4 linked regions of the Canis lupus familiaris genome follow. The protein of the gene in region 1 purifies or fractionates together with the protein of each later gene. This does not show direct contact. Links are inferred from orthologs where the notes say so. Each region holds a gene or a part of one and is shown in the gene's direction. Other genes may lie near its edges.

Region 1 (3,560 bases):
CAGTATCTAGTACTGGTAGAGTTTAAAAATTAAAGTCAATACTCAGCGTTGACCACTGTTGTTTACATTTTGGTATGCATCACTCATGTTGGTTTTCTGTACGCAGAGTATTCAAAAGTTAAATAGCTTTCTTTAAACAAATCTATACACCCACTGGCTTGTTTTTAAGTGTTATGGAAGAATGACATTCAGCATCTACGTTGGATTCCTTCTCTGTGTTCACATCTAGTAACTTCTGTAACCGTTTCCCCGTTTGGTCACGTGTTGCATATTCTTAACCTTGCAGTGTTAGAAATAATACTAGAATAGGCATTCTTGAACTTGATTTTTTTTGGCCAATATCTGCCCCTTTCCTTAAAGGGAATTCCTGGCAGTAGAATAACTTGTTTGGAGGGGAAGAGCGTTTTAAAGTGGTTACTGCCAGATTGTTTCAGTGAAGCGGATAGCCCTGTCTATTCACCATAGTCCCCAGCCTTGGGTTTTCCTGATACAGAGAACGCCGAACCTCAGAGGCAGACAGTGTCCTTGTCATACTGTTTTGATTACGTCATCTTGTTTTTTTTTTTTTTTAAGATTTTAATTTATTTATTCATGAGAGAGAGACAGGCAGAGGGAGAAGTAGGCTCCATGCAGGGAGCCTGATGCGGGACTCGATCCTGGGTCTCCAGGATCACACCCTGGGCCAAAGGTGGCGCTAAACCACTGAGTCACCCGGGGATCCCCCGTCATCTTGGTTTTAAACAAGCTGCCTTTTTAAAGCTTTGCTTCCTTTGCACCAATGCTACAGCAATCCCTGGGGAGTAGCCAGTTCTCTCTTTTGTATATATCCCTGCAGGAATACCTCAACAGCATTCTGCAGCATGCCAAGGATTTCAAAGAATATCACAGATCGGTCACAGGCAAAATCCAGAAACTCACGAAGGCGGTGGCCACGTACCACGCCAACACGGAGAGGGAACAGAAGAAGGAAAATGAAAGAATTGAGAAAGAGAGAATGCGGAGACTCATGGTAAATTTCTGCCTCCGTGACATCATGTGCCTTTGTGTCTGGTCAAGGGTGCTTTGGGTATGGCAGGCACCAGGGATTGATTGCCCAGTGTTATGCTGAGGTTTAAGAGTTAGAGGTGGGACAGAGAGAAAGAAAGGACTTGGGTTTGGGAATCCAGAAGACCTGGCCTGAGACCTTTGCCTGTTCGTTCCATCAGTGATCGCAAAAACCTTAGGCTGGTTAGCTGGCTGCTCTTGTGTTCTCTCCAGAAAATGGAGGGGGCGTATACTCCAGGTCGGGATAGTGACGGATGATGTGATCCCTGTCCTTCCTCGTGACGGATGATGTGATCCCTGTCCTTCCTCCCCACTCTCTGTGTCTGGCTGTTTGGGGGGATTCTCTAGCTGGGCAGATACTGACAGGCACTGGTGCATGTATGTGGCCACGGCAGCACGGAGAAGCATGCGGTCTCTCCCCTCACAGCCACTCCTGCTGGCCCTAGGGAGACAGATGCCCAGGCTGAACAAACAAGGTGATTTTAGGTGGTGGGAAGTACACCAGAGAGAATGAAGCAGGATGAGGGAATGGGGGTTGATGGGGGTTTTATGGGAAGGGTGAGCATGTCTCCCTGAGGTGTCTCCCAGGGATAGAGGGCGACTGTATGAAGCAAGGGTAAGAGCTTCAGGTAACAGAACACCAAGTGTGAGGCATAGCAGGTGCTCCTGGAATGGTGCGGGGAGGACATGAGCAAGGGCAGAGTCCTAGGGCAGTCAAGGGGGCCTTGTAGGCCATGAGGAAGGCTTAGATTTAATTCTGTATACCGGGGGGAAGGGGAGAGCCACAGGAGGGTGTAAGCTGGGGTGACATGATCTGATTGATTATTAGAAAGTCAGGAGGGGCCTGCTTATGGGTCTGTGAGAGTAATCTGGCCCGGACCGGAGAGCAGTGCTTGGATTTGTTGGATTTGGGGTGTGTTTTTGGACAGAGGGTCCAGGACTTGGCTGTTGGCCTTTTCAAAAGACTTCTGGCAAAGGCATGTATGCCCAGCAGGCCCCCTTGGGGTCTTCCCTGGAAATGGGGTTGAGGAAATACTTAAGAAGTTGACAGCTATGTGAAGTGTGTACATACAGCACGGCTCTGGTGTAAGCTAACCACTCCCTTAGTGAGGGTCTGGTTGTTGGTTAACAACAGCCCCCGGTGGGCTTCTTGACTCTGGGGTCCCTGCCTGGGGCGCTAATGGACGAGCACCTGTCTCTTGCAAGCAAGCACCATAACCTCACCCTTCTGCAGGCTGAAGATGAGGAGGGGTACCGCAAGCTCATCGACCAGAAGAAGGACAAGCGCTTGGCCTACCTCTTACAGCAGACAGATGAGTATGTGGCTAACCTCACGGAGCTGGTGCGGCAGCACAAGGCTGCCCAGGTCGCCAAGGAGAAAAAGAAGAAAAAGAAAAAGAAGGTGTGCTGGGACCTGGCCGTGTGCCTGGCCCTGGGTGGGGCTGGAGCAGCTGTCTTGGCATGTGTGCCTAACCTCCCCATTCAGGAAGTGACCATGTCTCTCTTTGCTTCCAGAAGGCAGAAAATGCAGAAGGACAGACGCCTGCAATCGGACCTGATGGCGAGGTAAGGAATCAGGAGTTTCTTTTCATGAAGGGCCAGCCCAACCTTGGGAGCTTAGATCTATTGCATCCTTTAACTTTTTTTTTTTTTTTTTTTTTCCTTTTCAAATCACCAGCACTGTCTATGACAATGGGAAGAATCCACTTATGTCCCTTGCCACATCCCACCCCTTCTCAGTCCACTCCCAAGAGGGTAGATTGTCAGTTCCTGGGCATGTTTCCTTCCAGACTTCTCTCTTTTGTACATGCTGTTATTTTTTAGTTTCACTCTAACATAATTGCAGGACAAAGAATTCCTGCCTCTTCCTCACCTGGGTTCCCCATTTTCTCACACATTTTTTTCCTAAACTATCTTAGAATCAGATGCAGACATGAAGACCCTTTCCTTCCATGCACTTCAGTGTGTTTCCTAAAAATAAGGTCCTATTTGGTAACTGTGCAGTGATCACCAAGCAGAAACAAACACGGCTGTAGTAATACCGTGATCTCGTCCCCAACATTTGCTAAGGTGTGGCCATGCATCGCATTCAGTGGTGGTCCTTCTAGTCCTTTGATCCTGAACGGCTCCTCACTTCCTTTTAGCTTTTTCTGACCTTGGCATTTCTGAAGAGCACAAGCCAAGTATTTCCTACAGGGCCTTTAATTTGGGTTTGAGTTGCTGTTTCTTTATGATTAGATTCAGGTCATGTGTTCCTGGCAGGTAGAGCCCAGAGTGACGCCGTGTCCTCCATGGGTCACCTCAGGAGTGCATGGCATAGATGTCTTCAGTCACTGGTGATATTGACCATTATTCCTTGCTGTCTGCCAAGACATTTGTGATGAAAAGTTCCTACTTTTCCTTTTATAATTATTAAATACCTTGTGGAGAGATGCTCAAGGCTCTTTAAACATATTTTACGTTCTCAGATTTCCATCCACTAGTTTCTTCATCTATTAATTGGTTTCTCCCAATAT
Region 2 (3,834 bases), on another chromosome or scaffold:
TTCTCCAGAATACAGCCTTGCACCTCCGACTGAGGACCTCCACATCTTTTGGTGTCTTTAGATTCTCACCACCACCACAATCGCTCCAAGAAATCGCTCTTATTATCTCCAAATTTACAAACTGGGGAAACGGGAGGCTTGGAAGGCGATGTGACTTCCGCAAAAATCACACAGGAAAACTGTGGGATCCAGATTCGGACTTAGGTCATTGGTCTGCAAGCTCTACTCTCAAAGATTCCACTCTGATGTGGGGTTCCCAGGCTGAGTCCCGACGCTCCAGGCCTTTGCGCAGTGAACTTCGCTGGTGCAGCGCTGCACGCAACAAGGAGGCAAAACCGGAGCAGACAGTTTTCTTCCCAGTTGAAGACACATCTCCACCCAGCCCCGCACTGGACACTCCGCTGCGGAAACACACAGGTCGAGCTGGGCAGGAGTGCACTTCCCTGCCTCCAGCCTGGGGCAGGACCTGGGCTTGGCGAGATTGGCGCCAAGGGTCAGCAGCCATCCTCCTCTTCTGCACCATGCGGCTCTGTTCCTAGGCGGGCGGGCGGGGAAGGTGGGCTGGGCCCTCCGCCCTCTGAGCGACTCCCCAGGTGGGAACTGGCCGAGGACCGGCCGCCGCATCCAGTTTATCTCAGGTTCGCCCCCCCCTTTTTTTTATTTATGATAGTCACACACACACACAGAGAGAGAGGCAGAGACACAGGCAGAGGGAGAAGCAGGCTCCATGCACCGGGAGCCCGACGTGGGATTCGATCCCGGGTCTACAGGATCCCGCCCTGGGCCAAAGGCAGGCGCCAAACCGCTGCGCCACCCAGGGATTCCGGTTCGCCCCCAGGACTCTATGTCTCGCCGCAGGTTTCTCTGCTTCTGCCTCTAGCTTTCTGCTCGGTCTCTATCTCTTGGCCGTATCTCTCACTGTCTCACTATCTCCGCTCTGAGTGTGTCTCTGCCCCACTGCCACGGGTCTCTCTCCAAATCCCTCGCGATCTGTTCTACTCATCCCCTGCACCTGGGTCCCCCACAAATCCTAGGACAGAGGGAAGCCCAAAGTCAGCTTGGAGCTGGGCGCGCGCGGCCAACATTTTCCGAGGGCGCCGGACGCGGACGGCGCGGGGAGGTTTGGAGCGAGCGCGCCCGCGAGCCGAGTGCAGCCGCGTGGGGCTGCCAGCCTCTGCCTCGCTCCCAGCCCGGGGAGGGGCGGGAGCGCGCGCGCGGGGGTCGAGGGCTAGGGGGCTGGCCAGTCTCCTGCCCCAGCGGCCACCCTGGGGATCCCAAGCTCCTCCCCACCCCGTTTCTATTGGCCTCGGGCGCCCCCGCCCCCAGCCGCCCGCTCCCGCTCTGGGGCCCTTTAGCTACTACGGGATAAATAGCCCCGGGCGCCTGGCGTGAGGCTAGGGGTGGGGAAGCCCCGGGGCGCTGCAGCCGCTTTCCTCACCGGCGCATCAGGCCCGACAGGACCCGGCGGAGGGGGGGAAAGTCGGGTGTCCATTCAGACGACCCCGTACTTTACCATCGCACGGCCAGGGCTGCGGAGAGGCAGAAAGTTTGGGGCAACCCCTGGCGAAGCCGGGACTGCGCCACCCCCTGCCGGGATATGGAGCTGCTGTCGCCGCCGCTCCGCGACGTAGACTTGAGCGGCCCCGACGGCTCCCTCTGCAACTTCGCCTCGGCGGATGATTTCTACGATGACCCGTGTTTCGACTCCCCCGACCTGCGTTTCTTCGAGGACCTGGACCCGCGCCTCGTGCACGTGGGCGCGCTCCTGAAGCCCGAGGAGCACTCGCACTTCCCTGCGGCCGTGCACCCTGCGCCAGGCGCGCGCGAGGACGAGCATGTGCGCGCTCCCAGCGGGCACCACCAGGCCGGCCGCTGTCTGCTGTGGGCCTGCAAAGCGTGCAAGCGCAAGACCACCAACGCCGACCGCCGCAAGGCCGCCACCATGCGCGAGCGGCGCCGCCTGAGCAAAGTCAACGAGGCTTTCGAGACGCTCAAGCGCTGCACGTCCAGCAACCCGAACCAGCGGCTGCCCAAGGTGGAGATCCTGCGCAACGCGATTCGCTACATCGAAGGTCTGCAGGCGCTGCTGCGCGACCAGGACGCCGCGCCCCCTGGTGCCGCCGCTGCCTTCTACGCGCCTGGCCCGCTGCCCCCAGGCCGTGGCGGCGAACACTACAGCGGCGACTCCGACGCGTCCAGCCCGCGCTCCAACTGCTCCGACGGCATGGTAAGGCCAGGACCCCGAGCTAGAGAAGTGAGGGCAGCTCTTGCTGTATCTGGGACGCGTTGCACAAGGCGGGGAGTTGGCCCTCCAGAGGGAGGTTTGGGCCGGGAACCTTCTGGGGAGTGGACCCTGGTGTCCTGAGCAGCCGTCACCGGGGTGGCCTGATGCTCTGGGGGCGCACGGGACAAATGCGATCCACCCGGCCGGGGGCGCTGTTAGAGCTCTGCTGCAGCGACCTGGAGTTGTGCTTTTCTGCACTCATCCCTATTTACAAAATAGACTTATGCTCCTAGGCGACTGTCCACGCGCTGGTTGGCCCGGGAGATTGCAGACAATCTCCGTCCGCCCCTGTCCCCCAGCCAGGGCCCAGATCTCGTGGCGGAGACATGGGGAGTTGGGGCAGGTGGTTACAGAGAGTGATGCTCTGGCCCCCCGCGGTCCCCGAGCCTGACTCGGTCGCCCTTGCCCTTGCCGTTTGCAGATGGACTACAGCGGCCCCCCGAGCGGTGCCCGGCGGCGGAACTGCTACGATGGCACCTACTACAGCGAGGCGCCCAGCGGTGCGTATTTGCGCCTCCTTCCCACGTTACCCGCTTTGAGCTGCCACGGCTTCCCTCTATCTGGACCTCCCCCTCCCCCTAATCCCGGAGACGGTACAGGGAATGAAATACTAAGCGTGCAGCCCACTCCCTTTTCGCTCCGTGCTCTCCCTGGGTCCTCAGGTTCCCGTCTGCCCCCAAGCACTGAGCCCGGAGGCGGGAGGCCTGTCCGCGGCTCAGCCGCCACTAACCCACCCCTCCCCGCGCAGAACCCAGGCCCGGGAAGAGTGCTGCGGTGTCGAGCCTCGACTGCCTGTCCAGCATCGTGGAGCGCATCTCCACCGAGAGCCCCACGGCGCCCGCGCTCCTGCTGGCCGAGGCGCCGCCGGAGTCGTCTCCCGGACCGCAGGAGGCCGCCGCCCAGAGCGACGCGGAGCGCGGCGCCCCCACCCCTTCCCCGGACGCCGCCCCGCAGTGCCCAGCGGGCGCAAACCCCAACCCCATCTACCAGGTGCTCTGAGGGGGTGGGCGGCCGCATGGGAGGCCTCCGCTGCCCACGCGCCCGAGGGACGGCGCCCCCCGCGCCCCAAAGATTGAGCTTAAACGCCAGCCCCACTCCCAACCGCGCTTTAAAAGCGACCCCTCCCGAGTTGGGAGCGGAGGGAGAACTGTTTGTGTGTTTCCACTCCCGCGCTCCACAGTAAGGACACAGTCCTTTTTTTCCACGCAACACCCTTCCCTGAGACTCGCTGCGATGGCCTTTAGGGGTCCCTCCTTGGGCCAGAGCTGACTCTTGAGGGGCCAGACCCTTCCCCTTCTTGCGCGGGGTGGGACCCGCGCAGACCTAAGCCCCGCCTCCGGGCGCCGGGGGAGCCTAAGGGGGCGTGGCCACTTCTCCCCGAGCCCCGCTACTTTGTAGCCTAAGGGGGCGTGGCCTCTTCTCCCCGAGCCCCGCTACTTTGTAGCCTAAGGGGGCGTGGCCTCTCGCTCCCCAGCACCGGCGACTTTGCTCTGCCCCGGCGCTGCGCGAGGTGCGCTCGTGTAACACTAACCACTCCACCCTCTCCCCCA
Region 3 (4,183 bases), on another chromosome or scaffold:
TCCTTCCTTCCTTCCTTCCTTCTTTCCACAGAGAGAGAGGCAGAGACATAGGCAGAGGGAGAAATAGGCTCCCCGTAGGGAGCCAGATGTGGGGCTCCATCCCAGGACGCCAGCATCATGACCTGAGCCAAAGGCAGATGCTCACCCACTGAGCCACCCAGGTGTCCCTGAATGTTAGCTTCAAACTACCACTTGACTACTAATGTGTGTGTGATACTCTGCAAAGCACCTAAACCATACAGGTTTGCTTCTTTACCAGAAGAAACATTTGAGAAGGTCTTTAAACTTCTCAGCTGACAAAGGCTATTTAAATGTGAAATATTATCAGTCTTCAGGAGTTAGTAGTTGATTATGTTTAACGGGTTACTTTTTCATATTTGGGAAAATCTATGAGTATATCTTAAAACTCCATATGGTAATTAAATGTTTGAAAGCCCATAACTGCTTCGAATGTAATTTTCATCAACATAAAAATAACACAACTCCAAGCCAAAATGTCCATTATCAGCTAGTCTAGCAGAAGATTTCTTATTAAAATTATAGATTCTCCTCATTGGTTGCTGCCCAGAGAATTCGAAAACTTCCAGCCTTCTTTTTGGAAGCTGATGGCTGAGTTCTAAAGCGTCTGTCTTAAGAACAACCAGAATGCAAAGAAATTCAAAGCTGTTCATTTTGGTGAATTGCAACCTGTCGTCAATGACTGTATATTGGATGTCCACAGAGTGCCTAGGCATTGAAGTAGCAAGTGATTTATTTGCATTATTCAAAGGATTTCTAAGGGGGGGGGGAGGGGTGTGTGTCTGAAGATTTGCAGAGGTCTTTAAAGATGCAAAGTGGTATGTGCATTTGCAGAGGTCTTTAAAGATGCAAAGTGGTATGTGCTTCTTTAAACTGCCCCGTCCCAGGAATGGATCGAATAGTGTGGGTTTCGGAGCTCAAGGGATTTCTAGCCCTGGGGCCGACTTCTGTACGCGGAGACCCCAGTGGGCGTCCAGCGGCGGGCGGGCTGGTGGGCAGAGCTGGGCCCCATCGGGGGCTTCCGGGCACGTCAGGCCGCCCCCGGGCTCGCGCAGGGCGGGCTGCGGCCCCGGCGTCCCCGGCCCGCCGCCCCCCCCCCCGCCCCCTCCCCTCCCCCTCCGCGCCCACCCCCCGCGCCCGGCTCACACCCTCGCCTAGTCTCCCGGCTCCGGCCGGTTCTCGCGAGATCCGGGCCGCTGAGCGCTCGGGGCCTTTTCAAATCGGGATCCGTTACCGCTTTCCCGGCCGCCGCCATTGCAGCGCTCGGAGCCCCTCCGCGCAGGCGGCCGAGGCGGAGGCGGGGGCGGAGGCGGAGGCAGCGACGGCGGGATGGCGGACGCCGACAAGCCCGAGGTGCTCGGGGCCGCCGGCGACGACAGCCCGCATCAGCAGCCCGCGGAGCAGCCGGGCGAGCCGCGGCGAGACCCGCACCCGCACCCGCACCCGCCGGAGCCGGAGCCGGAGAAGCAGCCTCCGCAGCACGGCGGCAGCGGCAGCAGCAGCTCCAATGGCGTTAAAATGTATTGTCTTTTCCTCCGGGCACCGGGGCGAGGTGGGGGGGCGGGGAGTCGGCCTGGGACGGGGGGCGGGGCGGGGCGGGGCGGGGGGTCAGGGCCGGCCTGGGGCCTGGTCGCTGCGGGCGTGGGCGGCGGGCGGCGGGCGCGCAGGTGCGAGTCGGGCCTCCCCCCCCCCCCCCCCGGCCTCCTCCTCCCGCCGCGCGCGGGGCGCCGCGTCCTTCCCGGGGGAGAGCCTTGGAGCCGGGCTCCGCGGCCGCCGCCGTCCGCGGGAAGATGGTCCCCCTTTTAAAGCCCAGCCCCGTAGCTGGTGTTCATCGCTAGGGAGTAACTAGGGATGACATCATCGGGCATTTCCTCCCAACCACGGGGAACGCGTTTCAAAGGAACGGCTCCCCCTCCCCCTCCCCCCGCCCCCCATCTCCCGGCCTCATCCCGAGCTTCGTGAGTTCGGTGTTTGCTGCTGCTGCTGCTGTTTCCAAAGTATATGATCTCATTTTCCGAACGGATTATGTATGCCAAGGGGGGAGTTTAATAATGCGCGGTTAGCCTGAATCCATTGTGTCATTCTTGCATTGGTTAAGAGGTGATTCCGAAAGGAAAATGTGCGTTGGTGCCTTGACCCCCACCGCTCCCGCCCCCGCAGGTGTGTGTAAGTCAGCTATACAGGTCATCATTATTTTTTTTAAAGAACTCGTTGTGTGATGGTTTTGTTCTTGATTTTGGTAAAATGGTAAACTAAGATTTTTTTTGTTGTTGTTGTTTAAAAATCGAAGAAAGCCCGCTGCTTTTAAGATTGCCCCTGTCACCAATGCTTATAAAGGATTTGGTTGCGTCGAATCCATAATTTCTAGTTTATAAGAAAACACGCTCCCCCATTGTTCTTGTCGTACAGGTGCTGTGAATCAGGCATTCTTTTGCAGGTGCCCAGCTCTTTAAACTTGGAAAGTCTGTTACTACTTTAGCCAAAAAAAACAAAAAAAACAAAAAAACAAAAACAAAAAAAACCAACAACAACAAAAAAAACATCCTTTTCCTTCTCTTCAGTTGTGCCTCAGAGAGCGGTGAACATACACGGTCACCCTAAAATAGGAAAGAAAAGTGTTTTTTTGTGTGTGTGTGTGTGTGTGTGTGTAAAATGTTTGAAGCAGGAGGGTAAGACCTGAACTAGTTGGTGTAGGGGTTGAGGGCAGATGAGGTAGCTCTCGCAGCTCACTTTGAACCCTCTTGTTTTCAGTTGGGTTTGAATAGGATAGATTGCATCTTCCAGGCAGAATAGAGGTGCAGGTAGAAGAGATTCGACCTCCGTGGGATTTGTTCCTAGGTGCAAAGTGGTGCACCTCAGGAACTGAGCAGCTGGAAAGCGAGCACTTTGTACCATGCCTGCCAAAATGTGGGCTCTCTGGGATTCGGCATCATAAATTTGAATAGAAAGCATTGGAATGATAAAATACGTGCTTTTTGTTTACATCAGACATGGACTTGCCACCCTATTCTCCCAAACAAGAAGTACAGCCTTGAATTACAGAGAGAAGCCCTACTATACTTGGGTGTGATTACTATAATAGTGTCAGTACAGATAAAGCTGGCATCTAAACCTCCCAGATCTGAAAGTCTCTAATCCCTTTGAAAGTCTCATTGTGGTTTAGCTGGACAGGAGAGGAGAGATTTTTTTCCTACGATTCTTTCCTACGAAAAGAATCTCTCACTTCTAATTGAAGAAGGGGGGTGGGGGGGAATATAAAGTGAAGTTAAGAAATGTTACTAGTAAGTACAAATGAAGATGCTTTTCATGTTACTTATAATTCATCTCTCACTCTTTTTTCCCAAAAGTTGAGTAAAGATGCAAATTTATTCCCAAGGGTTTCTTGTACTGTCAGTTCCATGAGAACCATATAGTGGTCCAGCATGGGTCGCTCATGCTGAATCACTGGGGACATTTACCTGCATCAACCTAACAACCTTTATTTGACCCTATGAACCAACTGGAGTAGTTAACAATCCAACACATAACTTTTGATTTGATTACCTTACATTTTTAAGGATAAGAATTCACAGTATGTGAATGTAAAATATGTATTGCTTAACATTGAGCAGGGTGCCACCTACCAAGATTAAAATGACTTTTCTGAGGTTAATCCATAGTCATTGAGGATGGAGACCACTATGTCTTATTCATCTTTGTATCCCCAAGGCCTTATACTTAAAAAGGTCCAGTAAATTTATGTAAGAAGTGCAGACGTGAACTTCTATCATCATGACACACACAGAGGATTTCGTGGGCATGTTCACATCTTTTGAGAAGTTAAAGATGTCTTCCTAGGTTTAGTCTTTTTGTTTATGCCAAAGTGGTATGCCAGTTCTCCTTAAGTGAAAGAGGGGGAAAAATAGCAGTATTGTTACAACTCTTCATTATTTCTGTGTAATTAAGTAACACTGTATTTGAAGATTGAGAGTTACATTAGGGTATAAAATATTGCGTAAGATCCTAAGCATTTAGCGTGAAGCAAAGTGAGGTGGAGTAATATTTTTTATATTAGGAATAAAGAATGGAACTGCGCATAATTTTAGATCTTATACTAAAGCACTCTTTTAAAATCGTATTAGGGACCCCTGGGTGGCGCAGCGGTTTGGCGCCTGCCTTTGGCCCA
Region 4 (4,157 bases), on another chromosome or scaffold:
TCTAGGGCATATAACAGGTGCTCAGGCTGTACTTGCATTGAGTTATTTTGGATCAGTTGGGCTTGAGAAACAGATAGGCCACCTCTGATCCCATTAGTTCTAGAATCATCCCTTCTCTCCACATGCTGGTTCAGCTCTTCCAGTCCTCAGTCAGTCAGATGCTATTCCCAGGCTTCTCATTAGCAAGACAGCATATGCTTATCAAATCGTGATGTTAGTCATGAATGCCTGAACATAGTCAGAGGCTGTGTCGAGTTCGAGTTAGCTAGGCATTTTTCTGAGGCATACAGAAGGAGGTTTCTCTAGAGGTGAGAGAAGTAACCACTGCCAATCAATCAATGCAAACTGTCACCTGCTTCCTTTATGTCTCCTGAGGCTGTTACTCTATGAAGCCTCCCTAAATACCGCAGGCATCAATAAATATGGGGGAGGGAATGGAGAGCAAAGAAGCTGCTCTCAAAATTCAACATTCACCCAAATATTTATTGAGCATGTTCTACAATGTGTGGACACATGTCTTGGAGCAGTTGCACTTGTATCCCGTTTTCAGAGGTCGACTTCAAGGTTATATTTTCCCGGAAGCCTCTGGACACCCCTTATTTGGATTAGGACTACTTTAGCCTATCATTCATAAAATGGCATTTAAAAGGCCTGTTTTCTGGTCTGGATGTTCTGAACTGGAAGCTCTTTGAAGGCAAAAACCCAGGTTTTGTCCTCAGCATTGGCCACGTAGCCTTGCAGAACGCAAGCACCACTCAGTCAACGACTGCAGGATTAAATCAGACAGTGATGTAGAGTGCTAAGCGGAACCTGAGGATAGCAGGGGAAGGCTTCTCTGAGTTGGATCTGGATGTTAGTAGACTACGTGGTCAGTTCACAGGTAAAGTGATGAGAATTCCAGGAAGGGAGCCGGTGTGTGCCAAGTTAGGAGAATATACTGAATTAAGGTGTGAGATTCTGTGGTTAGAGCACAACAGTACTATCCGGAAAGCAAGGGAGCTGGAGAGGAGAGGCAACAGAACCGCGCACCCGTTCGGGTCAAATGCATAACACGTAGCTAAAGGCAGCAACCCCGGCAAGAGGGCAAAGGTGCCGACCTCCAAACCCCGAAAGGGAGCCCACGGGCAGCGCCTCGCACCTCGCCTTGCCCGCAGCACGTGCCGCCGCTCTTCGCGAACCGCGGCCTGCACGGGGGCAGACGGGAGACTCCTGGGGCGCCCAGGGAGGGCCGCCCGGGGCGGGGCGCGCAGGCGCGCTGAGGCCTCGAGCCCCAAGAGGCGGGCGGGTGCGCGCGCTTCCTCGCGCACGCGCGCACGGAGGGGGCGACGGCTGCGGTGACGCTGCTGCGGCGGGCAGGCGGCGGTGCGTGAGGCGCGCGATTCCCTGGGTCTTGGGAGCAGTGCCCCGGCCCCCGCCGCTCCCGCTGCCGCCATGTCGGGCCGGTCGGTCCGGGCAGAGACCCGCAGCCGGGCCAAGGACGACATCAAGAAGGTGATGGCGGCCATCGAGAAAGTGCGGAAATGGTGAGGGGCCGGACCCGAGGGTGCCGGCGGGGTCGCCAGCCCAGGCCCAGAGGAGCGCGAGACTGGCTGGCGGGGTGGGCGCCGACCGGCAGGCGCTGGGGGGAGGGGGGAGCGGGAGAAGGCGGGAGGAGGGTGCAGCTCGCGTCGGCGTGAGGTCAGAGGGCGCGCCGGCTGCCGCCAATCAGGGGGTCGCCCGGCTCGCGGGCCCGCCCACCTGCCCGAGGGCCGCGCGTCTCCCGGAGGGGCTGCGGGCTTCCGGCCGCCGTGGTGGCTGCGTGGCCTCGTTCGCGCGCCGCGCCCCACCCGGCGGGTCTCGGGAGCCTTGCTGCCTCTGAGCTGCCCGGCGTGGTAGCTGACAGTCTCGGGGGGTTTCCCGCCAGCCAGGCCGAGCGCTCTACGTGTTAACTCGTTTTAAGTTTGGTGAGAGCTGCTCGCTAAACCTGTCACGGGAGCAGCCGTGGTCAAGGGAATCAAAACCCGCCTTTCCCCCCAGTGCACTGGCCCGCACGCCGCCAGCTGGGTAGGCTGTTGATAAAGCAGTCGTCGAGACCTACCCTCATTTGGAAACGGCTTGTGTGATGTTCATTGCAGGGCCGGTTGGCCGCCTGTTTTGTATCAGGAACTTCGATGCATCATCACATTAAAAGTTTAACAGCCAACTGTTTGCTCCAACTTCTTGAGTCTTTTAATCTGGCCGACTGCTAGTAATAGTTTTAAAGCCCAGGTAGGGGTTAGCCTTCCTTCCAGAGACCTCTATCCACTCCAGGGGCATCATTACTTCAGGTGTTGTTTTTGTTTTTGCGTGTCTCTTCGTTTCCCTCACAAGTACCTTTTTTTTTTTTTTTTAAGATTTATTTATTTATTTATTTATTTAATTATAGACATAGAGAGAGGCAGGCTCCGTGCCAGGAGTCCGACGTGGGACTCGATCCCGGGACTCCAGGATGGCGCCCTGGGCCAAAGGCAGGCGCTAAACCGCTGGGCCACCCAGGGATCCCCCTCCCTCACAAGTTCCTTCCTTCCTTCCTTTCCTTCCGATTTTATTTATTCATGACAGAGAGAGAGAGAGAGAGGCTGAGACACAGGCAGAGAGAGAAACAGGCTCCACGCAGGGAGCTTGACCTGGGACTCGATCCCGGGACTCCAGGATCACACCCTGGGCTGAAGGCGGCACTAAACCACTGGGCCACCTGGGCTGCCCCTCCTTATTTCTTTATATATAAGAGCTTTATATGTAGTTGAGATTCATATATATTAAATAATTAATGATTTTTTTCCCTCCAAATCTAATCCTCCTAGGGTTGGGGTTTGTTTGTTTTTTGGTGAAACCTAAGAATCAGCACACCTTTCCTTTTCTTCTGGCCATCTCTGCTGAACCCTGACCCCCAGCCCCAGCAGTCTGGCCAGAGGACCATCCTCTCTCATCTGGAACTCTTGGCTTTCTTCAACTCTCATTACCCAGTCCATTCATCACATTGCACTCAGAGTGATTTCACTTTTCAGTGTAAATATTATCATAGCATTCCCCTGCTATAGAAACAATGCTTCAGTGACCTCTTCTTGCTCTTAGGTTAAAGACCAAAGATGGTCTTCCTACCTCACTGGACTGGCTCAGACTGCCCTCTTTCCCCGTGTGGCTTGCCATCTTTCAGCGGGAGCCACAGGAAGCCTGGTATCATCTACCTTCTCCTCCTTGACTAGTTAACTACTCATTCCTTGACCAGTTAACTACTCACAAAAATTGCTTTCTCAAGGGACACCTTTTAAGATTTCTAATCTAAATCAGGTCCCCTTCATAGAACTTTCCACAATTGTATTAGATTGAATAATAAGACATTTCCTTTTTTTTTTTATTTTTATTTTTATTTATTTATGATAGTCACAGAGAGAGAGAGGCAGAGACAGGCAGAGGGAGAAGCAGGCTCCATGCACCAGGAGCCCGACGTGGGATTCGATCCCGGGTCTCCAGGATCACGCCCTGAGCCAAAGGCAGGCGCCAAACCACTGCGCCACCCAGGGATCCCAATAAGACATTTCCTATATTTGACTTTTTAACTTAACTGAAGTGGCAGTTTGATGTGGTTAAGTCTAATGATTAAGCAACTATGAAATGAGTTGTTTGATTTCTGTTTCCAATTGGAATGAGGCTCTGTGAGGGTAGGGACTGTACATCTTGCTGCCTGTGTGCCCAAGGTCTAGCACAGGATCATGAGGAAGTGGAGTGCTCAGTCCAGGAATTAATTTCAGTTTGCTAAGTCTGTAGTTGATTCTTCTTTCTGTTTGTTGAACGGCATCATCAATATCAGCAGTCACAACACTTGCTTTTTTTGCTTTTCTGGAACCTCACATTTGGATTTGAAACTTTCACAAGTCATTCTTCAGGCTCCCCAGCTCTGCTTGTCCATAATCTAATCCTTATTCAAGAATGTCACTTGCATTCCCCCAAAACTGGGGGAAAATTTTTTTTTAGGCTTAACTTTTTAAAAAAGATTTTATTTATTTATTCATGAGAGACACAGAGAGGCAGAGACATAGGCAGAGGGAGAAGCAGGCTCCCTGTGGGGAGCCTGATATGGGACTCAATCCCAGGACCCTGGGATCACCACCTGAGCCAAAGGCAGATGCTCAAGCCCT

The links.
Region 2: the proteins of SMARCA4 (region 1) and MYOD1 purify together in Homo sapiens (affinity purification with western blotting; 3 studies listed by BioGRID, with this or other methods). This does not show direct contact. The link is inferred for Canis lupus familiaris from reciprocal best matches to the Homo sapiens genes SMARCA4 and MYOD1.
Region 3: the proteins of SMARCA4 (region 1) and MYEF2 purify together in Homo sapiens (affinity purification with western blotting; 3 studies listed by BioGRID, with this or other methods). This does not show direct contact. The link is inferred for Canis lupus familiaris from reciprocal best matches to the Homo sapiens genes SMARCA4 and MYEF2.
Region 4: the proteins of SMARCA4 (region 1) and BCL7B purify together in Homo sapiens (affinity purification with mass spectrometry; 6 studies listed by BioGRID and IntAct, with this or other methods). This does not show direct contact. The link is inferred for Canis lupus familiaris from reciprocal best matches to the Homo sapiens genes SMARCA4 and BCL7B.

The regions. Positions count from the first base shown.
Region 1 is NC_049241.1:50,637,678-50,641,237, reverse strand, and holds part of SMARCA4 (transcription activator BRG1), read left to right. Parts: intron 1-835; coding exon 836-1,009; intron 1,010-2,278; coding exon 2,279-2,446; intron 2,447-2,559; coding exon 2,560-2,610; intron 2,611-3,560. UniProt on the Homo sapiens protein: ATPase involved in transcriptional activation and repression of select genes by chromatin remodeling (alteration of DNA-nucleosome topology).
Region 2 is NC_049242.1:40,920,067-40,923,900, forward strand, and holds MYOD1 (myoblast determination protein 1), read left to right. Parts: upstream 1-1,378; 5' UTR 1,379-1,597; coding exon 1,598-2,227; intron 2,228-2,705; coding exon 2,706-2,784; intron 2,785-3,032; coding exon 3,033-3,283; downstream 3,284-3,834. UniProt on the Homo sapiens protein: Acts as a transcriptional activator that promotes transcription of muscle-specific target genes and plays a role in muscle differentiation. Together with MYF5 and MYOG, co-occupies muscle-specific gene promoter core region during myogenesis.
Region 3 is NC_049251.1:14,712,196-14,716,378, reverse strand, and holds the start of MYEF2 (myelin expression factor 2), read left to right. Parts: upstream 1-1,332; 5' UTR 1,333-1,347; coding exon 1,348-1,538; intron 1,539-1,935; exon of another isoform or gene 1,936-2,015; intron 2,016-4,183. UniProt on the Homo sapiens protein: Transcriptional repressor of the myelin basic protein gene (MBP). Binds to the proximal MB1 element 5'-TTGTCC-3' of the MBP promoter. Its binding to MB1 and function are inhibited by PURA.
Region 4 is NC_049227.1:6,595,194-6,599,350, forward strand, and holds the start of BCL7B (B-cell CLL/lymphoma 7 protein family member B), read left to right. Parts: upstream 1-1,306; 5' UTR 1,307-1,431; coding exon 1,432-1,523; intron 1,524-4,157. UniProt on the Homo sapiens protein: Positive regulator of apoptosis. Plays a role in the Wnt signaling pathway, negatively regulating the expression of Wnt signaling components CTNNB1 and HMGA1.